Linked DNA regions of Tamandua tetradactyla. The protein of the gene in region 1 purifies or fractionates together with the protein of each later gene. This does not show direct contact. Links are inferred from orthologs where the notes say so. Each region holds a gene or a part of one and is shown on either strand. Other genes may lie near its edges. The genes, in order: PGM1 and GRHPR.

Region 1 (12,239 bases):
TTTTCCTGTCCCTCAAGGTACTTTGCTAATAGATTTTAATTATCTGCTCAACATACTAGGGGATGTATTAGGGCACTAAAATAAGCTATACAGACTTACAAGCCTTGGTTACCATTCTCGGCTCCATGTGTTTCGGTTGTTTAAATGAGCTATCCAGACAGGTTGAGTTAGGTTATGTGCTACAGAAAAGGTGGGTTTGAGACAAAGTAAACCTCTGTTCCTTTGGTCTCATAGAGTAGTTGAAGTTTTAAAATAAAGACAATGTCCTCCTTTCCCCTGTATTCTGATTTGCTGTAGTCCCAATCTGGACCAAAAGCTTCTTGACAGTTTGAGTTCTCTTTTATCTTTCTGTGGTGCATAGTGCCTAATATATAAAATCAATCAATTTCTATATTGTAAATGTTGGAAAGATGGATAGATGAACGTGTAAAGGGATGGACAACAGACTGAAAGATGCTAAAGAATGTCCATGTTCTGAGGCAGTGTTTTGTTTGTTTTTACTTTAAAATTTGCCTCAGGGGTCCTTTTGAACCTGGGATTTTGTACACCTCTGAGCCATCTAGGTGTACAAATTCTCCTGGTAATTCTTCTGATCTTGTACCCTCTGCATAACTTAATGTGATGTTTTCTTTCCTTTCAAGGGCATTTCCTAACTCAGTTAAAATGTATATGGCTAATGGCTCTCCCAATACAAAGGCACGAAACACACCTTCATATTTTCAGATTCAAGGTAGTAACAAAAACTAACAACTCACATAGGGCACTGTTCCAAGCGCTTTACATTTCTTAACTTACCGTACCCCTTTCGTAACAAACCTATCTGGTAGATGCTATTTTGAATCCCCATTTTACAGTTGAGGAAATGGAGGCATGAAAATGTGAAGTCTCTTGCCCAGGCTTAGGGAGAGGTCGTCTGCCCGTCTCCTCGCTGCGGACCGAGGCTCGGGGGAGAAGAAGAGAGGGGGTTTCTCTCTTCCTCTCACTTGTGTGCCCAGCAAAGAGGGCTTGACCCAGAGCTAGCAGATGGGACCTGGGCATCTCAGGGCCTGGTCAACACAGCGAAGAGGTGCAGGGAACAGAAACCTCAGAGCACCCTGAGCCATCAGGACTGTGTGAGGAAGCCAGAGGGGTGTCTCCAGGAGCCAGAAGCAGGGTGGGCAGCTCAGCCTCCCCACCGCCGGAGATCGGAGCCCCCACCGCGTCCTCGTCTCGCCCCTGCTTGTCCAGCATGTCAGCTACGTTTTTCTCTCCCTCTGCTGACCCATTTGCCTGTGTAAGTTTGTTTTGTTCTGCTTTTGTTGATCTTATTTACAATCTCATTTAATCACGTTCCTATGACTATTCCCAGTTTATAAGTCAAATGTGTTTATTTTCTTTTTAAGTTCTTTAATCTGAGAAGCAAAACTTTCAAAGTATGCAGTTTATTCTCATATAATGTCACGGTCCTGACAGCAGATCCTTGCACAAAGTATGCTTATACCAGCCCCAGGTTTTTGAGACTTCTGTGTGTTACCTCATTCAGTCATTACAAAGACAAATGGTAGGGGGACTGCTGTTATCTTCATTTTTCCAGATGAGGATTAAAAAGTTAGATAATTTGCCAGGCATCACACAGCTAGCGGCTGGGAGAGCTGTGGTTCAGATCCCCTAAGTCTGACCTTAGGTCCCATCACTGAACCATTCTGCTGTTCTGTCTGGATCTAATGAGTTAAACTTATAAATATGTGCATTCCAAGCTTTATTAAATGTTCAATTAATATTTATAATTTTTACCAAATTCCTTAACCCCCTTTAACTTAAAATCGCAAGTCTAAATAGGTTATTCAATTACATATTTTAAATTGGGATCATAAGGCTTATCTGCTAGATAACCTAATACCCCAAACCCTCTTAAAGTAGTTAAAATGCCAAATATTCATAGCTTTTTCCCAAACTTTCTGCAAGAGTATTAATACTCTACTTTTGATTCATTTACTGTCTCTACACTGTGATTATGGTTTACATCATCATATCTACTTAGTTTTAAACCTTCTTTAAGCCCACTAAAAAAGGTTCTCTCACCCCAAGCAATTAGGAGTTACCTTTCCGGTTGAATTGGGCGTGACTTTGTCAGCTGGCTGAGGTGCGTGTCCACCTGAGATCTGGTGTGGAGTGACCCCAGTCTGTCAGGGAGACGTGAGTGACTTTCTCTCCTAGCCCCTGTTCCTAATTCTCACGTCTGATAAATCTGCAGCCTCCACCCACTTGCAGGGTTTCATCTAGCCTATTTTTGCTTGATTTTATTCTGAACTCTTTCCAATTCCTCCCTTCCATGAGGGCCACAAGTCTTGGATGTGTCTGAACCACACAGGGTTGGACCCTGCTTGACTCTTATATGTACTGATGCATCATCCAGCTGTCAGTCACAGTTCTACAGCTGTTCTCATGACTCAGCTGTCCTTGCCCACTGCTCCTGAGATTATGTGTCTTCCTGGTCCCAGCACTAACAGAGTCTAACTTGTATATTCCCCAATCTTAAGAGAGAAAATATGATTGGCCCAGTTTTCTCAGGTGTCCACTCCTCGTGCTCATGGCCTGGAAGTAGGGTCCTATAGCAGAAACATGGCCCAGGAGTCCACTCTTTTGGGATGGGTTGGGAAGAGAAGAGGGGGGGTGAGTGGCAAGACACTATGTGGAGAAGGAATTGGAGGGAAGGAAAAGAAGTCTTCAATGTTGGAGTTCAACAAAACCCAACAACAAGGCTCAAATTGGCCCAAGGAATCTAAATTGAGGTTGTATGTAGGAAGCTGACACACTCCACGCTGGAAGATTGACCAGGCTGCTCAGAGCCCTCTCAGCTGAGGAAGGAATCTTTTTTGCCAGCCTTAATCTTTTTCCAGTCTCTTCTCCTCTAAGCTATTTGATGCACCCCCAGTGCCACCACTGTTTTCTTGTGATAGGTCCTTTCTGATGATGAGCTTCGTGCGCACAAAATCCCATCCATGTGTTTCCATACCTGACCCATCTATGAATGTAAAAAAAAATGTGTTTGCATCTTTATATCATTCTCTAGTTTACAGTGACTTTCATATACTTCAGAGATGAAGTAATGATGTATTATGTGCCAGTACAGATGTCTTTATATAGGTCATCTGTTTTAACCTTGAGAGTTAGCCCCATGATGCAGGCTCATCCTGGTTAAGTAACTCACTCATGAGGTTCAGTCTCACGCATTTTAGAGTCAAAGGTCTGAGCTCAGGAGTGTCTGGCTCGTAAACCTTTGGTCTTTCCATCTCACTCATTGCCTCGCCGGTGGGTGGCATTTACCATATGCTTTGTTACTGGTGGTTGGAGAAATAAATGACTGTTTCCTGGCTTGTACTTCTCACCTTTAGGACAAACATCCCAAATGCTCAGGGGCAGGCACCTGCAGCCATTAGCAGCTGCGAGGTGGAGGTCCGGTGATCCCTGATGTTCTTAGCAGAATTAGAAGCTTTCTTTCTAGTGCCTGTGCCTAGACCCAGAGTTAGCAGTTCCATCCCCTCTTCCCATGCCTATGGCATTTGTGCGAAGAGGTGAACCTGCTGCGGCCGTGGGTCCATCCTCACCTGGTGCCTGGAATATAGTGATGAACTGTCTGATACATGCTGTTGATTTAAAGAAAGACAGGTAGAATGAACGAAGGGTTGGAAAGTCTGTGATTTCTGCTGTGTTCTGCTAGGAAGGACCATTTCTGATCAGAATGGGAGCTGGAAACTTTGAGAGGCTGAGAGTGAAGGGGTTCATCACTCTGCCACTGTGAAATTGATGGGACCTAAGACCAGTATGAAAGTTCCTTGTCTGAAGGGAGTAATCCTTAAATTCCCCATATGGTTTAAATGCAATTTGTGTCATTGTGAAGGAGTACTGGCAATGCAGGCAAATTCATTAGGCCAAATTGGGTTCGCTATGCTCGACAGTAACGTTTCTGAAGATGAAGTTCAACCTTTGCTGGAGAGCTAAAACAAATGGGTTTCTTAATAGCTGCCCCACTTAGTCTGTGCGTCTTAGGAAGCTTAATGTATTTAATGCCTCTTCTTTTTCACCACACTTCACACTCCATCTAACATTGCTGCTTCTGGTAATATTTTCATATGGGGTTGAGTTCTATAGTGTCTATAAAATTATGACTCCGGTCCATTTTTAGAATAGAAGCTTTTCTAGGGCAAGGATTTTGTGTTTTTGGTTTAGTGTTGAATATGACAAACACCATGCCAGTCGCTCAGAATGTTATTCTCCTGTTCTAGCTTCAGAAAAAGCTTCCCTGAGAGATTGACAGGTCACCAGCAGGATGCTGGAGTGTGTTGTGTTGGGTGGGCAGAGATGTTTCGGTTGAGCAGTGGGAGAACCCGCATGAGCAAGTGCCCTGAAATCTACCCTGGGAGTTCAAAGTCTCCTTAAGAGAACTAGCAGTTATGTGGTTGGTTGCTCTGTTATTCCCAATGAAGAGATTACTAGGTTTGTATTACATAAAGCAGAAATCTGTTATCGGCTATGTCAGGACTTATTACTGGCCTAATTTGCAAGCCTGTCTAAAAACAGAAAGCTTGGCACAGAATGTAAAGCATATAAATAAAAAAAAAGCATTTGTAGTGAGTTGAAAAACGGTGGATGTATAAACTACTGTAAATACAGGAAGCTCATTTTGTAATTTAATTTTTAAAGAATCTTAGTTTGAAATACCAAATAAGAGCCCAAAATAAACTGCAATAACTCATTGCTTTATGGCTTATTATTGGTTTTCAACTTGATAGACCTGCCTTGTGAATTCTTTCAGTGTCACTGCTTGAGGTAGTCCCTGCATCAGGGCTGGCCCTGTGTGTCATCTGAAAGGGACCACACCCTAGCTGGTGGCTTGTTTTGGGCTCATAGCTCCTTTTGTTCTGCTGGTCTGTGTAGAGCAGCCCCCAGAACACAGGGACATTCTTGCCTCAGAGAGGGCAGTTATCTGCTTACAGTGCCTATTTACTTTTGACCCTTGCTTCCAAGTTGGTAGAAAAATGCTGGGATTTTTTTTTTTTTTCTGAAATGGTTACTCACATTTCCCAAGAAAACCTTGACTCAGTGCATATCAAGCTCCCAAAACATGTGTGCAACTAGTTTTGGTTAATTTTTTAAGCATTCTTTGAACATTCATTAAACCTTGACAATGGAGCTTCTTAATTGGCAGCTTCTGCTGAACTGGGTAAAACACACATGTATGTATTTAAGCAGATTATTAGTAAAATCTCATGGATCTAATGGGAAAGGATATTAAGTTCATTCAGGTAGATATTTTCAAACATTTTAGGTTCTTCAAATGCAAAGGACTTAAACTCCCTCACTAAAAAAATTTCTTAAAAGCCAAGTCTATTTAAGACTTAAAACATTTAAAAAACAAAATTTAATCTGGGTGCACGGGTGGTTCAGTGGTAGGATGCTTGCCTTCCATGTGGGAGACCCAGGTTCAGTTCCTGGACCATGCACCCCTCCCCCCCAAAATAACCTTATGCTCATACTATTTTTCTAAATAATAGATTGATCAAACCTCATGCACTCATAAAAAAAGATGTATTTTTTCCCAGTTCTGCTCACATTTTCAGTGATTTGATGCATCCTTCCTTATCCCTTCTTTCTAGAAGTTTAAGAAACAGAGGACTGTTGGTCACTCCGAATATATTTGTGGATCTCCATTCTTCTAGAACTAAATAATATTTTGTTAAATCGGTTTTGTTAGATGAATGTTTTCTTCTAACTGATGTTGCACGTGGGAAGGAAAAATGCCTTGGGTATCAAAATGATGGGGGTGTAAGGAAACAAGAGGTAACTGAGCTCCCACACTTCCATTTTAAGATTGACCTTTTAAATTGCTGGATGGCATGGGACAACTTTAGCTGCAGATGGCCTTCGCAGTGATGAATGCACAGAGGCTCTGGTTTTAAGGGGTGGCAGAAGCAGTGAGAGCCATACCAGGTGTCTTGTTTACAAACCTGCTTCTCAGAACTGCATCCGCTCTGACTTTGCCTGGACCCAGGAAGTGGGGTCTGGCAGACGTCTGGTTTTGTAACTTAAGTCTGCTGTGCGATCGCCCTTTGGAGCCATCTCCACCCTAACAGAGGAATGAGGCAAAAATAATTGCAGGCATTTGGCTTGGTTACGTGGGCAGCAGTGTCCTCATCAAAACAACTTGGGGACTCTCCTTTGTACACGCGTGTGGGTAGGTGTGTGGCCATTAATGTTTCCATGTGGGCAGCAGCAGGGAATTAAACACGCTTCCTCATTGAGTGACCATCTAGACGAGCTCTCTGTTTTGGTTACTCGAGTGACACTGTCGCCGCTTCAGGTTTGAGGACTTGGACAGCTCTCTGGACACCTTCCCTGAGCCAAGTGGTGGAAATGAAAGATGAGTGATTTTGATGGATGGATTTCTGGGAAATACAGAAAAATGGAAGAAGGTCCTCTCCCACTGTTGACTTTTGCTACAGCACCCTACCTTGATCAGAAGCCAGGAACTAGCGGATTACGGAAGAAAACCTTTTATTTTGAGGCAAAACCATGCTACCTGGAGAATTTCATCCAGAGTATATTCTTTTCTATAGACCTAAAAGATCGCCAGGAGTCATCGCTGGTGGTTGGTGGAGATGGGCGGTATTTTAATAAATCAGCAATAGAAACAATAGTGCAGATGGCTGCTGCCAATGGGGTGGGTATACCACATTTCCGCCTTTCCGAATCTCTTAATTTTGCAGAGATACACAGAAGTACAAGGTTTGTATGCAGTGAACTTACATAGATCTTAATTCTACTGATGGGCAGTTAAGTTTCATTGCAATTAAAAAAAATTGTAGATCGTGAATACACGCGGTGGTTACTTTAGCAGATATAGAAATGTAAGTTCAATTTCTTCTGGGTTGTGCTCTGTTCTTGTTGCTTGAAAAAGTACCTGTTGCTTTTTAGACATTTAAAACACAGCCCCAGCCTTAAGCTGTCTTATCTACGTCCTAACTAGCTTTTAGGGGCAGCGGGTCCTCTGTAAGAGGGGCTCTAATGAGGGTGGAGAGAGGAGGATTTTATTTTCTTTCAATGGCTTCCTTGTTGAAGTTCAGTCACTTGTCAAACAGGAAAACAAAACCCAGAGCATGCTGTTGTTTATGGATCCTGGTAGTCGTGCAGAAATGCTAGGAGGGGATTGGAAAATGTTAGGTGTGAGCCTTCCAAGAGGACCTGTTATGGGGGACCTCCTTATAATGACCCGGGGCACAAAGAAACCCTATGTGCGGTGAATTTGTGCAGCAGGGTAGAGATAATAACTCCTGTAAAACTATAATATAAGCAGGCTCTGCTAGAGCTCTGCATCATGGAAAAAAAAAAAAGCGGGTTAACTGGATTAACCAAATGAGAAGGAATATTGTACCAGAAAGCATTGATCTTAATAATCTTAACAGTTTGCATAGCCCCATCGATTTACAGGAAGGCAGGCATCAGAACATTGCTGATTTTGCTCTGAAAGTTCTTCTGTGGGACCAAAAAAAATATTTTAAGCATTTGGAATAATGCTTAGACCTTCAATACCTGTAAATTAGAAACAGAATGTATTTCCTTTCTGGAGGAGATTCTGGTTCCGAGGACATAAATTTAGCATTGCAATTAAATGTATTGGGCATTCATTTTCAATCTATTTTAATAATGTTACAAGCAAGTGTGATTGCAAAAGCCAAATTAAAGACAAAAAACAAAATGCTCTACCAAACCAGGTTTAAGTGTTTGTAGAGCCTGTTGTTTATAATGCGAGCTTTCTTTTGATACTCAGTTTCAGAATCTGAATGCCCCTCATGTAAAAATTGCTGATAAAGCACTCAAATATGAAATTATTATGAAGCATACATATTTTTAAGATAAAATGTGACATGCCATAAATTTCATCTTTGAGGAGAGCTGCAGAGGGAATGGTATTAAGATGCTTTTAATCTTTCGAGAAGGAACGAATGGAACATTATTTCTCTGCATATATCTAGACTGGTGAATGGATCTGGTACACTGTCCCCTTTGCTGTGATATATTTGGCTTCATTTCATTTTTGTGTGGAGCTGAAGGATGGGGAAAAGGTGGTGAGAATGTGTAATTTGGGCAGATCCTATAGACTTTCTCAGATTTACAGTCTGAAGGTTTGTTAAATAATACATTGAAGTGATAATAATTGACTAAATATGGTAACTGCCTATTTGTCAGAATTGCGGCAGCCCAAGCAATATTTTCAAGTCTTTTCAAGGGCATTGCTTATTGCATTTAAAGCAGTCTGCCACCCAACTGACTTCAAATATTTAGTGGACCGATGAAGTACCTTAGCCTGATAAAACCTAACAAATCCGAAGTGGTTTGATTTCTTCTTTTTCTAATTTATCCTAAGTTCTGACTGTTTTACCATCCCTTGTTGGTTGTATACCTGTCACATCTTGAAGACAGGATATCAGGGAGGACATTTAAAGGAAGGATAAATATTGCTGCAGATTTTGTTAGAATTCAGCGTTCTTTCCTCACTTTTGCCAGTACCCATTCCATGCAGGAGAAGATTCTTGAAGGATTTTTTAGCCTAGTGAGCTAAGTGGAGATCTTTTTTTTCCTCTCTCTCTCTTTAGTATATCTTTATCTGGTGCATTTGTGGAATATAGAATATAATCTGCTTTCATTAGGAATTTTTTTTTGTTCTCATTTGTGTAAAACTGTTTGCATTTACAGGAAATTTTCATGTACAAAATAAGACATTGATGGGTCCCCACTTAGAATATTAATATTGCATTCAGCCCCTGGAGCTGTTAGACATAAGTTTAGAAATGGGAGTAGAATCCATGAGTATGACCAGCAGGACAAAGAAAATGGAACTTAGCTTTTATGGGACAAACATAACACAGCAGACCCTATTTCCAAGTAAAAGGGAAATTTACAGGTTTTTTCCTTGCCGTGTTTGGATATGAAGGGTTGGGGGGACAGTGAGGTATCTAGTCTGGTAGGGTGACGTGGAGGGAGGAAAGGCTGCAGGGGCTGTATGATGAGGGGCTGTGGTGCCAGACTGATGGAATTATCTCTGATTTGGTAAGTAAGCTCTTGGGAGCCAGGGAGAGTTGTGGAGTAGATGAAGGACTACTGTGGTAGTCCGCCATAGAACTGTGGTTTGGGAAGGTGTGAACTAGGTGTACTTGAGCAGGTGGATGGGTTAGAAGGAGGAAAGCGTGGGTGGGAGATTGAATCAAGAACTGTCACGGTGATTCAGGCATCTTTAAGGGAGTGAGGGTAAAAAAGTAACATCTCCCCAGATAATTGGGTTGAAGAGGACTATTCTTTTTTTTTTAATTAAAGAAAAAAAAGAAATTAACACAACATTTAGAAATCATTCCATAAGATAACTATTCTTAAGGAAAGAGTTTGCTCTGCAGGAGAAGTACAGATGTACCTCTTCTTGAGCTTAGGAGAGAGAAGCGACCATGGACTTCTGTTACTTCTGTTACTTCAACTTTCCTTCTTCACATAACATAGAAAAAGGGTTTCCTTCATAGAAACCCTTTTTCTATGTTATAAACCCCTCAGTCTGGGACCATTATGGACTGCAGCTGTCATCATAAAGAATGGAAGAATTAAGGGATAACTTGGGTGGAGGCATAGCTTAAAATTCATTAGTCTCCCCTTCTGCACCAAATACATACAAAATCTAGGTAGAAGTCCATGTGCTTGATGTGCAAATGCAACTTCCAGATAATTCTACCAGCCTCTCTAGCTGATTAAATTGTCTCCTGCCATGTTCTAGAAATTCTGAACATGTAAACCCAACCACAGGCTTTTATTTACACCTGGAAATTCCCGGAAGGGTGAGATGTCACCATTCCAACTGCATTTGCAGTATCAGGAAGTTTCAATGCTTTTCCCCACGATGGCCACTAATTTGCCATGTGACCTTGTCCTGTCATCTATCCCAGTATCTGGCACAGCACTTTCCCATAAATGCTTATTGCTGCTATTGGATGAATGAAAGAATGAATGAATGGGAGGGATCATGACAATTCTGGACATCAGTTTCCTCATCCATACAATGGAGCTTGGAAGTTCTTGCAAGTGCAAGAATGGATCCAAAGTGCTAGGGGATGTAGAAGGAACTCTGCAGCACAATAATAATCATTAGGATTGATTTCCTGTGCTCTACAGGTTCCTGCAGTCTGTAAAAGAGGCTAACAATAGCACCTACCCTGGCCATTACCATTACTGGGGAAGTGTAGAACAGGGAAAAAATATATTAGTGCAGCTACAACAAAAATTGTCCAGAATTCAGTATATGGGGAGCCAGGTGATGACTGAAGTGAACTAAATGCCTCCTGGCAGGTGGTTGGCAGTGAGAATTTAAATTATGACTTATGTTTTCCATGGCCCATAGGAGATGGCAAAGGTCAGAGTCCCAGAGAAGCTTTCCCAGGTAATACAGGTATCTCCGTTGTATTTTCAACATTTAAAACCTGTCTTCCGCCATCAACTCACTTCTTCAACCTTATTTATCTTGGGTGGAACAAAAACAAAATAACATGAGAAATTTGAAAACATTCCTATCCCTTTCTTCTCTCAAAAGGAGACGGGAGAGCAGGTACAGCCTCTGAATTTCATATATCCTTTTATAGCAGTCCCATCTTCAAGTATGTCAGAGGAACTGACAGAATTTCTTCCTTCTCCAAAATGGGTCATGTTGAAATGTTTATAAATTATTGCCATTTTAGCAAAGGAAGGGTTAGGAGCTGTGCTGGTGCGGTCTGTAAGAGAAATGGGAAGGTGAGTTAAGAATGCAACAAAAGTATCACCTGTATCACGTCCATGTAGGTGGTTCTAACTGGCTTCCTCAGTAATGACTCACAGCATTCCATGCCCACGAGGTAATCCAGGTACACTTAATATGTCCTACTTGGAAGAAACCCACTATATGGAAAAGCCCTGCTGTGACTGTCGTATATTTTCTTGCCAGAGCCTTATCCCACCACCAGAGCTCATGGTCCTAAAACTACAAAGAGCTGTCTGAAGGAATGCCTTTGTTTAGCAATTTGCTTCTTCTTCAGCGATATGGTGGAGACCATCCAAGCTGTACATATTCACAGAAGAAAATATTTCCTGGTCCAGGAGAGCTTTTCTTTGTCCATCTGCCGGCCTCGTCAGTGCTTCTGGGCGGTCCCTTGTGTCTGCTGATGTTAAGTTGTGTCTTCTGGGTTTCTTCTCCTAGATTGGTCGCTTGGTCATTGGGCAGAATGGGATCCTCTCCACCCCTGCTGTGTCCTGCATCATTAGAAAGATCAAAGCAATTGGTGGGATCATCTTGACAGCCAGCCACAACCCAGGAGGGCCCAGTGGAGACTTTGGGATCAAATTCAATATTTCCAATGGAGGTGAGTCTGCTTGTCATTTTGAGGATGGTCAGTTTTGCATTCGGTAGGGTAAACCGATAACTGAGACCTTGGGAGTCCAGAATTCTGGATCCCAGCAAGGGCGTTCTTCACCTTCTTTTGGTGAAAGTGAGATGCTTCTCATTCTGTTGTATCTGAAAGGGAGGAGCTATGCACATATGATGATTAAACATGCTTTCCTTTTTTCTCCTTTTTTAAATGTTTTTTTTTTTTTTTTTAAAGGAAAGACAGAGAGAAGGAAGGAAGGATAGAAGGAAGGAAGGAAGGAAGAAAGGGAAACATTTTTAAACATTTTCTTGTTTTATTGTATTCTGTTTCTCCGTTTTTGTTACATGGGCTGGGGCCGGGAATCGAACCGAGGTCCTCCGGCATAGCAGGCAAGCACTTTGCCCGCTGAGCCACCGCGGCCCGCCCTTAAATGTTTTTTATTGTGAAATATAACATACATACAAAGAAAAGAAAGAAAAAGCAATCATTTTCAAAGTACACCTCAACAAACAGTTACAGAACAGATCCCCAAGTTTGTCCTGGGTTACCATTCCACGATTTCAGATTTTTCCTTCTAGCTGCTCCAAAACACTGGAGGCTAGAAGAAATAGCAATATAGTGATTCAGTGCTCATACTCTTTGTTAAATCCTGTCTTCTCTGTTATAACTCCTTTTCCTTTTTTAAAAAAAATTTTTATTGAGAAATAGCCACACACGTACAGCCGACCATATTATACAATCAGTGGCCCACATTATTGTCACATAGTTGTGTGTTCACCAGTGTCATTTTTAGAATGACATCACTCCAGAAAAAGAAATAAAAAG
Region 2 (12,236 bases), on another chromosome or scaffold:
GTTAAGTCAGAGAGGGTGTTCCCATTTAACAGTTTTTCCTTAGGAACCTGTTTTATTTTATATTTAAAAAGTATGCTGAGACTAAGATCATTAAAATTGTATTATTAGCAAGAGAATAGGCAGAAAAGCTAATAAAACTGAATTGAGGGGGTGCACGGGTGATCCAGTGGTAGAGTGCTCGCCCAGGCAGGAAATCTGGGCTCAATTCCCGGCCCATGCACCCCCACCCTCACCCCTCCCCCAAAAAACAGAATTGAGAGTCTAGAAAGAGACACAAATTGATATTTATTTAGTGTACGATTAAGGTGCCACTTCAGTCTGTGGGAAAAGTCTAGATCATTCAGTAAATAATTGTGGGAGATACTGAGTATATTATAAGGCTATAATAATTTAAACAGTGTGATGTTAACACAAATGACTAGATAGATAGTTCAACAGAACAGAAATAAAGTTTACAAATTGACCCAAATTCAGTATATAATACTGGTAAGATATCAAATCAATGGGAAAAAGATAGATTATTTAATAATAGTGGTTGGAACAACTTGGTAGCTATCTGAAAAAAAGTCTGCATCAAAATTTCAAAAGTAAAAAAATTAAACCATGAAAGGACCAGATAGAGAAAGCAAGAGATACATTAAAAAGAAAAAAATAAATAAACCCAATGTGAAAAGGGCCTTTCCATGTGAGGCAGTTTGGAAACGTGGCCCCGTCAGTTCTTGGACGGTTCTCCCAGCGAGAGGGGGTCTGTGCCTCCTGGCCTTGAACCTGGGCTCTGTGACTGCTGGACCAGTAGAGTACGGCAGAGGTGATGCAGTGTCAGTTTCCAAGCTCAGGCCTTGCACTACTGAAACAAATTCTTTCTGTCTCTTGGGAGGTCGGTGCTCACAACCCAGGCCCTGGGGGGGCGGCAGGGCTGGTGCAGGTGGTGGGGCCAATAGCCCCCGCTGAGGCGGGTAGCTGCCAGGCCTATGAGTGAGAAAGATTTTGAGATGACTCCAGCTCCAGCAACCTTCTGGCCAGCAGCTACCCAAAAAAGCCTGAGCGAGAACCATTTAGCTGAGCCCAGTTGATCCCAGAACCAGAAGAGATAATAGTAAAATGATTGTTGCTGCTTTAAGCCACTAAGTTTCAGGATAATTAGTTACACAGCAGTAAATAACTGATGCGCTATGTGTAACAAAACCCAGAAGCCATAGAAATAAAAAAGTTTCTGCCTTAAAAAAATTAATAAAATCCTAAGAGAAACATCAAACTGGGGAAAATGCCATATTTGTGACATATCACAAAAGGCTAGTTTCCTTATTATATAAAGGGTCTTTACAAATCAGTAAAACAAAGATGCTCAACCCAACTTAATGGCAAAGGATATTAATAGACAGTTCACAGAAAACATATGAAAAGTTTTATTATTGTAAATAAAAATTACAGTAAAATACCATTTAAAAATAATATACTGTAATGATAGTGACTAAATGTACAAATTTAAAAAACATTTTTGCATGAGGAAGAACAAAGGAATGTCATTACTGCAGGGTGTTGAAAATAGATGGTAATTAATATTTTAAAATCTCACCTTATGTGCGAGACTAAAGCAAAACATGTTTGTTTGGTACAAAATTTATATTTTGACTAGTGCATTTCCTAATATAACTTATGTAGATAGTTTGATTGAACACGTTAAGTACTTGGAATCTCAGGTAGGACATGAGATTTTGTTGGTTTGTCCAGAGTGATGCCCCGAAAAATCCCAGAGTGATGTGAACAGTGAATAAAAAAGTATTTGCAAAGTCCCCTTTGGGGAATGGTGAGAAAGGGGGAAAATTCAACTTCCCCAAGTTGAATTCTTGATATTCTCATAAGCAGTGTGACAACCAAAGCTATAGGCTGAGCCCCCAATCTTGGGGTTTGTTCATATGAAATTTAACCCCACAAAGGATAGGTCAAGCCTACTTAAAATTAGGCCTAAGAGTCACCCCCAGAGAACCTCTCTTGTTGCTCAGATGTGGCCTCTCTCTCCAGCCAATACAACAAGCAAACTTACCATCCTCCCTCTGTCTACGTGGGACATGACTCCCACGGGTGTGCTTTAAGCCACTAAGTTTCAGGATAATTAGTTACACAGCAGTAAATAACTGATGCGCTATGTGTAACAAAACCCAGAAGCTTCCTGGGAAAGTGGGACAGAAATCCTAGAATGAGCTGAGACTCAGCATCAAGGATTGAGAAAACTTTCTCCACCAAAAGGGGGATGAGTGAAATGAAACAAAATAAAGTGTCAATGGCTGAGGGGTTCCAAACAGAGTCGAGAGGTTATCCTGGAGGTTATTCTTACGCACTAAATAAATATCACCTTGTTATCCAAGATGTAATGGAGAGGCTGGAGGGAACTGCCTGTAGTACTGTGTTCCAGTAGCCATGTCTTTTGAAGTTAATTGTGTAATGATAGCTTTCACAGTGTGACTGTGTGATTGTGAAAACCTTGTGTCTGATGCTCCTTTCATCTACCTTATCAACAGATGAGTAGAACATATGGGATAAAAATAAATAATAGGGGGAACAAATGTTAAAATAAATTTAGAGTGAAATGCTAGTGATCAATGAAAGGGAGGGGTAAGGGGTATGGCATGTATGAATTTTTTTCTTTTGTCTTTTTATTTCTTTTTCTGAACTGATGCAAATGTTCTAAGAAATGATCATGATGATGAATATGCACCTATGTGATGATATTGTGAATTCTTGATTATATATGTAGAACGGAATGATCATCAGTTAAGACGTTTGTTTGTTTGTTGCTATATATATATTTTTTAATTATATGCTGAAAAAAATAATCTGCTGGGAAATAGGTGCTTTCCTACATTGCTAGTAGGAGTGTAAATTAAACAATGTCTATAAAAAGCAATTTGACAGGATCTATGAAAATTTATAGTATAGTGCATGCGCTGGTTTGAAAGGAAGTATGCCCCCTAAGAAAAGCCATGTTCTAATATAAATCCCATTTCTTAAAGTTAGAATAATCCCTATTCAATACTGTATATTTGAAACTGTAATGAGATCATCTCCCTGGTTGATGTGATTTAGTTAAGAATGGTTGTTAAACTGGATTAGGGAATGACATGTCTCCACCCATTTGAGTGGGTCTTGATTAGTTTCTGAAGTCCTATAAAAGAGGAAACATTTTGGAGAATGAGAGATTCAGAGAGATTCAGAGAGAGCAACACTACAAAGCAGAGAGTCCACCAGCCAGCAACCTTTGGAGATGAAGAAGGAAGACACCTCCCGGGGAGCTTAATGAAATAGGAAGCCAGGAGAGAAAGCTAGCAGATGACGCCGTGTTCGCCATGTGCCCTTCCAGCTGAGAGAGAAGACCTGACTGTGTTCGCCATGTGCCTTCTCGCTTGAGAGAGAAGCCCTGAACTTCATCAGCCTTCTTGAACCAAGGTATCTTTCCCTAGATGCCTTTGATTGGACATTTCTTTAGACTTGTTTTAATTGGGACATTTTCTCGGCCTTAGAACTGTAAACTGGCAACTCATTAAATTCCCCTTTTTAAAAGCCACTCCGTTTCTGGTATATTGCATTCCAGCAGCTAGCAAACTAGAACAGTGCACATTTTTTTTTGCACGTATTTTTTGACTTAGCAATTCTGCTTCTAGGACTCTGACTTACAGATTTCTTACACATGTGCAAAGTGACATATGCTTTGCTCTTCATTGTGGCATTGTGATAAAAGATGGGGAACAACCTAAAGGTCATTCAATAAGGGACTGTAACTAATTTATGGTACATCCTGTTCCTAGTAAGATGCTCTGCATCATTAAAAAGGCAGCTCTGGGCAGGCCACAGTGGCTCAGTGGCTCAGCGGGCAGACTTCTCGCCCGCCATGCCGGAGACGCAGGTTTGATTCCCCGTGCCTGCCCGTGCAAAAAATAGCAGCTCTATGTACACTGATATGGAATGAGCTCCAAGATATACTCTTTCATGACACAAAGTGTATGTGCTACCATTTGTGCTAAAAAATGCATATTCTTTTTTTGCTTCAGGTGAAACTCACAGAGCAGATAAAAAATTGATTTCAAGGTGTACAATTCAGTGGCATTTAGTACATTTACAGTGTTGTGTAAGCACCGCCCCCCTGCCCCGTACCCAGCCCCACCCCCACCCCGTCCCTAGCCCCCAGCCCCTGGCAACTACTAATCTGCTTTTGGTCTCCATGGATTTGCCTTTTCCAGATATTTCATATAAAAAGAAGCATACAATATATGACCTTTCATGTCTGTCTTCTTTCACATAGTATGTTTTCAAGATTCATCCAAGTTGTAGCACATTTCAGAATTCCATTCCTTTTTATGGCCAAGTAATACTCCATAGTACTGATATGTCACACTGTTTTTGCAGTTGTCTGTGGATGGATATCTGGGTTGTTTCCTCCTTTTGGCTCTCATGAATAAATAATACCAGGAATAAAGAGCAACAACAAGTTCCTATGTGGACATATATAGTCATTTCTCCCTAGATATACACATACCTAGGAGTGAAACTGCTGGGTGGAATGGTAATTCAATTAACTTTCTGAGGAGTTGCCAAAACTGTTTTGCATATTCTTAATTAGCATGGCACATCTCTGGAAAGATACACAAGAAACAGGTGACAGTGTTTGCCTCTGGGGAAATCACCCGATAGCACACACCCTGCAGGGTGCCAAGAGGTTTAAATGAGTGGGTCACCATGGACGGTGCTTAGGGCAGTATCTGGAACTTTCTAAGAGTCCATAAATACCAGCTATGTATTATGATGTATGATGATGATCCACCCCTCTCCAGTTCTCGAATCCTTCCTCTCCTTACCCCTTCACCAGGCTGCCCAGGTTTTGCCCAATCCCTCTTCTGGGGTCCTCAGCAGGACCCACATTCTGGCTCCAGGTCCACCACCCCGCAGCTCTTACCGAGTGCTCTGTCTTTGGGGAGAGGCCCCACTAACATGTCACGCCCCCCCGTCCCCGGTGGACAGGCTTGCCCAGTGCCTTCCCCTGTCCTGGTGTGGGGGAGGTCAGTGGGGCTCTGTTGTCACTACCCATTAACAGAGGGCTGAGCCACTGGGTCACGCTTTCCCTGGAGGGCCTGGTGTGGGGACAGAGAACACCTCTTTATGTCAATGTTTGACATATTCAGAAAATTTCACTGGGATGGCCTAGCAGTGCAGATAACTGTTTGTGTTACTCAAGAGTGGGAGGTGGCAGGGTGGAGTGCCAGACAGTGGGTGCCGGCTCTCACCTCTCCAATGACATGCTGGGTGGCACCAAGTTGGTGACGTCACCTCCCGTGTGTCTGTTTCCTTATCTGGGCCCAGAGAGGGTAGAAAGGATTCAGTTAAAATAAGTGGAGAAGAGGGTAGAGGAGAAACCACCCTTTGGGTACTCTCAGGCCTGAGAACAGATAACCCAGCAGGCTTCAGAGATGAAGCCAGCAGGCCTGAGGTTTTCCCACTTGTCCAGAGTCTGGCTTCAGCATTTGTATCCTTGACCAACTGCTGGCCCCAGAGCACCAGGGGTTTGGTTTCCTTAGATGCGTTAATATTTGTCAAGCATCCACCATGGCACTTGTTAGGGGGCGTTGTCATAGCACAATACACAGGTGCATACATTTCAGACTCTCAACAACCCCATGAAGCAGGCACTATTATTATTCCCGTTTTACAAATGAGGAAACTGAGGCTCACAGAAGTTTAATAACGTGTCGTTAGCAAGGCCGGGATGTCTGCCCAGGAGGTCTGGCTCCAGAGCCCAGGCTCCTAACCTCTCCCCTCCATGGCCTCAGGACATGTTGCCCACCTACAAGGCCCAGAGCCTGTGCAGATGTTGTCTCATCTGATCATGACGATAACCCTCAAAGGTAAGTGTTACTGCCTCATTTGGGAGCTGAAGAAAAGGAGGCTTAGGAAGATGGCATGACCTGACCAAGGGCACACAGCTTGTAAGTGGCAGAGCCAGGGTTCAGAGCCAGGTGCCTCTGACTGCAAACATTGGGTCTGACCATGTCCCCACATGTCCCCAACCAGCCCTGTTGTTTGCAGCCAGGTGCCTCTGACTGCAAACATTGGGTCTGACCATGTCCCCACATGACCCCAACATGGCCCTCTGCAGGACCTGCCCCTGGCCACTCAGCAAATTTCCAGCAAGCCTGGGTAGCCTGCACCCATTAACCCCCCGCCCCCCAACTACTGAGGGCTTCACATGGAAATTGCACAAAGTACTAATGAGCCATTCCCAGATTCCAAAGCCCCAGGTACAGCCTGTTGTCTGTGAACTTCAATCCTGGCTCAGAGCCCAATCTGTGTGAGCAGAGGCCCCTGCCTGGAACAGCGTGACCAAGATGGGACAGACCTAGCGTGGATGGTCAGGGCACTCAGGCCCTGGGAGTGGTGTTGGCCCCAGAACACACTCACCCTCTGAGAGCTGTAGCCACGCTGACATGTCATATCCACACATACCTAAACACATTCACACACACTCTCCTCTGGGTGCCCTTTACCTACCCCAACCCCCAAGACATGCCTTTGCCAGTCCCCAAGCCTCTGAGGCAGTGGGCATTTGGAGGGAGAACCTAGGGTCAAGGCACACCCATAGCCGCATCACCCCCAGGACTAGTCTCAGTTCCTTTAGGGGCTGATGGCAAATGCTCAGAACCCCACCCTAACACCCCAGACGAAGACACATTGTCACAGTCACTCCCTGAACACGCACAGTCACCACACTTCCACAGTCCCACAGGCCCCCACTCGGGCCGACCTGTGCCCCCTTCCCCTCCCTCCAAGGCTTTCACCTCTAGTCCCGGCCCCGCCCCTTCGAGGCCCCGCCCATACTTCCGGTTCCCTTCCCTCTGGCCCCGTCCCGGTCAGTGTGCCCCGGCTGCAGGTTGGATGAGGCCATCGCGAGTCATGAAGGTGTTTGTCACCCGCAGGATTCCCCCCGAGGGAAGGGCCGCGCTCGCCCAGGCTGCAGAGTAAGAAAAGCCCCGCGCCCCGCGCCATCCCGCGCGCCGAGTCCGGGGCCGGGCGCACGGGGTGGGGGTTAGTGCCGGGGCGGGGGCGGGGCCCGGGGCAGCTCTGCGGAGACGACCCTAGCCGTGCCCTCCCCAGATCGCAGGACCCCTGTGCACAGGGTGACTTAGCGATCTCCAGGCGCCCTTTGGGGACGCCCGGAGTTGCAGGCGGCAGGCTGAGGGCGGCCTCCAGAGCGGGGAGGGTAACGAGGTGATCCCAGCGGCCCGGGACAGCTCGGGCCCAGGCCTTGGCCGGACTTTTTAGCCTGTGCTTGGCGGGAATGGACTTGGAGTTCTTGTAAGGCTTAGAGAAAGTTGTCTGAGGCCCAGCAATCTCCAGGACCTGTGCAGTGCCACTGGGACGCCCCCATCTCCGCTGGTACTAGAGCCCTTTGCGGTCATTGACCTGGGAAGACGGGAGACCGCCCATGATGCAAGGTCCAGCTTGTTAGTTCTTTACACGGCCAAGGTTGCCTGATGACAGGCAGGCAGGGGTCAGGGACCTTGGCAGTCACTTGAACTGTTTTCGGAGGCCTTTGGTGATCCCTTAAGAAGTGAATTTTTTTGTGTGTGCCAGCCTTGGCAGGGGCTTCATGTACATAGACTCATTTAGTGCTTGCAACACTGTGAAGTGGGCATTATAATTCCCATTTCACAGATAATTGAGGCTGGGAGAGATTAAGTACCTTGCTTGAAGTCACACAGCTCCCAAGTGGTAGAGCTGGGATTTGAACTCAGGTCTGACTGCAGTCTGACCACTTTATCAAACCAGAGTTCCACTGCCAGTGGCAGGCAGGAAGAAGGTGGGACCCAGCCTTGGAAACCAGTTCCAGGGGAAAATGAGATTTGTTTTTTATTTCATTCAGTGTGATAAAACCTTTGCTGTACTAAGGGCTCATTGGGGTGGGCATGGGAGAAAGCAGAAAAAAATAGTCATAATATCAGTAGCTCAAACCTGCTTTAGCTCTGTGTGCCACTTTCATGTAAAAGTGGATGAGAGGTGGCCTGTACCTGGGGCTCAGTCAGCAAGATGAGAGCTGCAGCTGTAGATTGCTTGCACAGGTAAACGCTCCATACAGCTTGGCTGGCCTGAATTTTAAGGTAAAAGCCAAGAGACTGGATTGCACAACTGGGAAATGTATACTTTCCAGACGCTGTCATGGAAGTGCACCCTTTTGTCGTCCTTCCTGGCAACATTCAAATATGAGAGTTTTCCATTTCATGGACTCACAGGACAGAAAATGATGCATCTGGTCGTGGAATCCAAGCCCCGCTGATGGCAGAACCTCTTTGATGGCCTTCCCAACAATTGGCTGCCTCTTTGGACGTCCCATACCAGGGAGCTCACTAACCATGAGGCCTCCTGTTAGTGATAGGAAGCTCTTCCTTGTGTTGAGCTAAGAGCTGTCCATGTGATTTCTCTCTTTCAGTTTAGGCTCTTCAGGCCTTCCTGCCCCCTCCTCTGCTCTGTGACAGCCCTTCACCTTTCACCTGCCCTCTCAGGACAGTTCTGAGGTTCCCACCACCCATGCTGACCTCTGACTCCTCTCAGCCAGCCGCAGGCCACCCAAGGCCAGAACTAGCAGAAGGCGGTGTTTCCTAGCTCTGAGAGAGGGGCTGGGAATGTGGTTGTGGGACTTCGGGACCAGGAGCATCTGAGGGGCTCCCCTGCCTCTGAGTGGTCTTTCCTTTTGCCTTCAGCTGTGAGGTGGAGCAGTGGGATTTGGATGAGCCCATCCCTGACAAGGAGCTAGAACGAGGTGTGGCTGGGGCCCACGGCCTGCTTTGCCTTCTCACTGACCGTGTAGACAAGAGGCTCCTGGATGCTGCAGGTATGTGCATGGGCAGGTCTGGGGTGGATTCAGAAGGCATGCTGGCCCTGTAAGCACGTGGCCTGCTGCTGCTGGCTCCCTGATCAGGCTTTCAGCAACCTGTCTGGTTCTGAGGGCATTTGCTGCAATACCAGGCCAGAGGGAGCCATTGTTGGCAGCTCCATCTGGCATGAACATTGCCTTCATCTCCTGGCTGTGAATCCCTGGAGGAAGGCCCTACGAGGGCAGATACCTTGGTCTGGAGGCAGCGGCATGCAAGGGAGAGCACCCAAGTTCCCATGCCTCATCCAGTCCTGCCATGGCTTGCTCTGTGATCTGGAACAAGGCCCTTTTTCCTTTGGTCCCATCTGCAGCACGAAAGAGGGCCCAGTTCAGTGTAGGCAGGAACCTTAGGGTAGAGTAAACTGTGGTCCTGGCAATTTTGAGGAAAGGTTCAGAATCAGAGGCTGCTGGCTGGGTAGGGAGGGTCCCTGTGAGTTGGTGCTGGCCTTGACCTGGGAGCTTTCTGGCACCTTTCCCAGAGGAGTGAGGGGTCACAGCTGCTATCTCGGTGCTTTCCCAGTATTCATGGGAGAGGCCCCGGGCTGTGGCCAAAGGAGACTCTGGGCAGACAGTCCAGTGGGTAAGAGTGGGTGCCTTGGTGTTATAGGCCTGGGGGCGGGGGGGGGGGGGGGACCCCTGGCTCTGCCACTTGGCAGCGTGTGACTGGGGCAGGCTACCTGACCTCTCTGAGTTCAGTGTCTGTATAAATTGGGATTGTCAGAGTTTTAAATGAGACATTAGCCTTTACTCTTACTGTAAGAAAATGATAATAAGCAGGGTCCCCATAATAGAGGAGAATCTGGAATTCCACAAGCAAATGTACAAATGGTGCTTTTCCTACATGGCAGGAGCCAATCTCAAAGTCATCAGCACGTTGTCCGTGGGTGTCGACCACTTGGCTTTGGATGAAATCAAGAAGCGGTAAGTGCGGCTTGGGTTTTGGAAGGGAGCCTGGAGTGAGGGTGGCCAGCAGAGAAGGGGGAAGAGGGGCTGAGGTTTTGTTTTTGTCACTTCATACCCCTGTATAACCAAAGTACCACATGGAAAGCTCCCAGCAGTAAAAATCAATGAAGATGCTTGTGGCTGGTGTTACCATCAGATCTCTACTTTGTAGTGGGATCCGTGTGGGTTACACCCCAGATGTCCTGACAGATGCCACCGCCGAGCTCGCTGTCTCCCTGCTACTCACTACTGGTCGCCGGTTGCCGGAGGCCATCACAGAAGTGAAGAAGTGAGTGAGGGCCGGGTGAGAAGGTTGGCTTTGCTCGGCAATTGGTTCCTGAGCACCCAGGGTTCCTGAATGGACATGATCCGTGACTGCAGACAATCCCTGACCAGTGGCCAAAATCCTAAAGCGTAGCCAGAACTGACATAAACCGGGTGTGGAGGGAAATGGTGAGATAAGAGGATAAGGAAGAGCGTGGTTGGGAGTGGGATGCATGGATCAGGAAGGGCTTCACGGAAGAAGTAGCATTTAAGCATCTTCCTGCGGGCTTAAGAGGTCTGTACCCCACAAAGAAGCTCTGAAAACGGGTGGCCGCGGTGGCTCAGTGGCAGAGTTCTCGCCTGCCATGCCAGAGACCCGGGTTCAGTTCCCAGTGCTGTTCATGTTAAAAAAAAAATAGAAAAAAAGAAAAGCTCTGAAAACTGAAGTTGTTTCATAAATCTTCTGGTAGCAAAACCTGGCAGGAACTGACATGAGACTACTTGTGATCTTTATTTTTTCTACTCTATGTGAATATTCATGTTTTGCTGCAGAAATGCTGATGTGTTTGATACAAGGTGGTTTACCAAGGGTATGATGTAGAACACAACACGTGCATCACACTACCTTTGTAAAATCCGAAACATTTCAGATAAAGGAATGGGGTCTGTGTATTGAAAGTGGGAGAAGGCATTCCAGGTGTAGGGAATGGCTTGAGCAGATTGGAAGGCTTGAACTGAGGTGGGAGGTAGGCAAATGCAGTCCCTCAGAGAACAGGGATGCGGAGCCTGGCTCCGGGGCGGATATATAGTGGGAACAGAGACTGGACACAGCATGGGGCTGGTGAGAGACAGTGCAAATGTCTCACTGACCCTCCTCTCGCAAGACTTGTCACTTTCATTGGAGGTGGTTCAAGCCAAGCTCTGTTCTCCTATCCCCCTCAGGGCAAGAGGAGTTGGGCCTTGTGACTTTATTTTTCATTGCTGCCTTAGAGGCCCTGAGAGCACTGGTTCTGGAGTCCCAGATCCTGAGTTTGTTACCTGCCATTCCCCAACCTGCAAAATGGGATGGGGACCTCCAAGGCCCCTCCCAGCCCACTAATTCTGTAGCCTGGATAGCCTTAAAAGAGGAATCATCCCCCCTGCTCATTCACAGTGCTGAGTGGCTGTAAGTATAACTCAGCCCTCTCGGTAGTTGGACCTGGAGAGCAGGGTCCATACCTTAGACCACGGGCTCTGACCAGGGACACTGGGCCTCTCCCCCAACCCTCCCTTTTCCGTAGCGGTGGCTGGACCTCATGGAAGCCCCTGTGGATGTGTGGCTACGGACTCACGCAGAGCACAGTTGGCATCATTGGGCTGGGGCGCATAGGTGAGTCTCTCTACCTGCTTGCCTGCCCCTGGGTTTGAATCCCCGGCACCACATGTCTGGATGCTAAAAATCCTTCTTTGTTATATGATCATGGTATCAGGGCATTTTGCTCACAGTAGGGGAATCTCTAATGAGAAGCCATAGCTTCATGAAACACAGGCAAAAAAAAAAAAAAAAAAATCAGGAGCTCCTTTAGAACTCACAAGGTGTTAAAAGCAAGGTATAAGAGACCAGGTTCTTTATGATTACAGCCCCGTAAAGAACAAATGAAAGCTGTTGGGCCTTTAGGAACAGCTTACTGAGGCAGAGCCCAGACTTCCTTAGACTTGGATTCTGGAAGGTATTTGACCCATGGAGCCTTAATTCAGGGACCACAGAGCCCATGGGCAGAGTTTACCTGCAGTTCTGGGGAGGAGGTTGAGCTATTTTTCTTCCAGTGGACCCTTTTGGGAGAAGCCTGGCAGAAGGGCTTGACCTCACCCAGGCAGCTGTCAGTGACTCTCAGGCATCCTGTCTGGTATAGCGGTGGGGGTGAGGGGTACAGGGTATGGATAACTTACCTGGCCAGCAGCCCTGCTTCACAGTAGAGAGTTAACTGGACGAACCCAACAGTTTTGGGGCAAGTACTGAATCTGAAAATCCAACTGCCCAAGCTTGGTCTTGCAAGTTTTGGATGAGTTGCTGATTTGGTAATGCCACCAAAAAGTCAAGTGGGGTTTGGAGCTGCATTAACAGAAGCAGAAG

The links.
Region 2: the proteins of PGM1 (region 1) and GRHPR fractionate together in Homo sapiens (co-fractionation; 3 studies listed by BioGRID). This does not show direct contact. The link is inferred for Tamandua tetradactyla from reciprocal best matches to the Homo sapiens genes PGM1 and GRHPR.

The regions. Positions count from the first base shown.
Region 1 is NC_135337.1:62,483,429-62,495,667, reverse strand, and holds the start of PGM1 (phosphoglucomutase-1), read left to right. Parts: upstream 1-6,343; 5' UTR 6,344-6,400; coding exon 6,401-6,700; intron 6,701-11,245; coding exon 11,246-11,408; intron 11,409-12,239. UniProt on the Homo sapiens protein: Catalyzes the reversible isomerization of alpha-D-glucose 1-phosphate to alpha-D-glucose 6-phosphate. The mechanism proceeds via the intermediate compound alpha-D-glucose 1,6-bisphosphate.
Region 2 is NC_135328.1:57,768,487-57,780,722, reverse strand, and holds the start of GRHPR (glyoxylate reductase/hydroxypyruvate reductase), read left to right. Parts: upstream 1-6,864; 5' UTR 6,865-6,921; coding exon 6,922-7,004; intron 7,005-8,744; coding exon 8,745-8,875; intron 8,876-9,765; coding exon 9,766-9,838; intron 9,839-10,031; coding exon 10,032-10,148; intron 10,149-11,403; coding exon 11,404-11,492; intron 11,493-12,236. UniProt on the Homo sapiens protein: Enzyme with hydroxy-pyruvate reductase, glyoxylate reductase and D-glycerate dehydrogenase enzymatic activities. Reduces hydroxypyruvate to D-glycerate, glyoxylate to glycolate, oxidizes D-glycerate to hydroxypyruvate.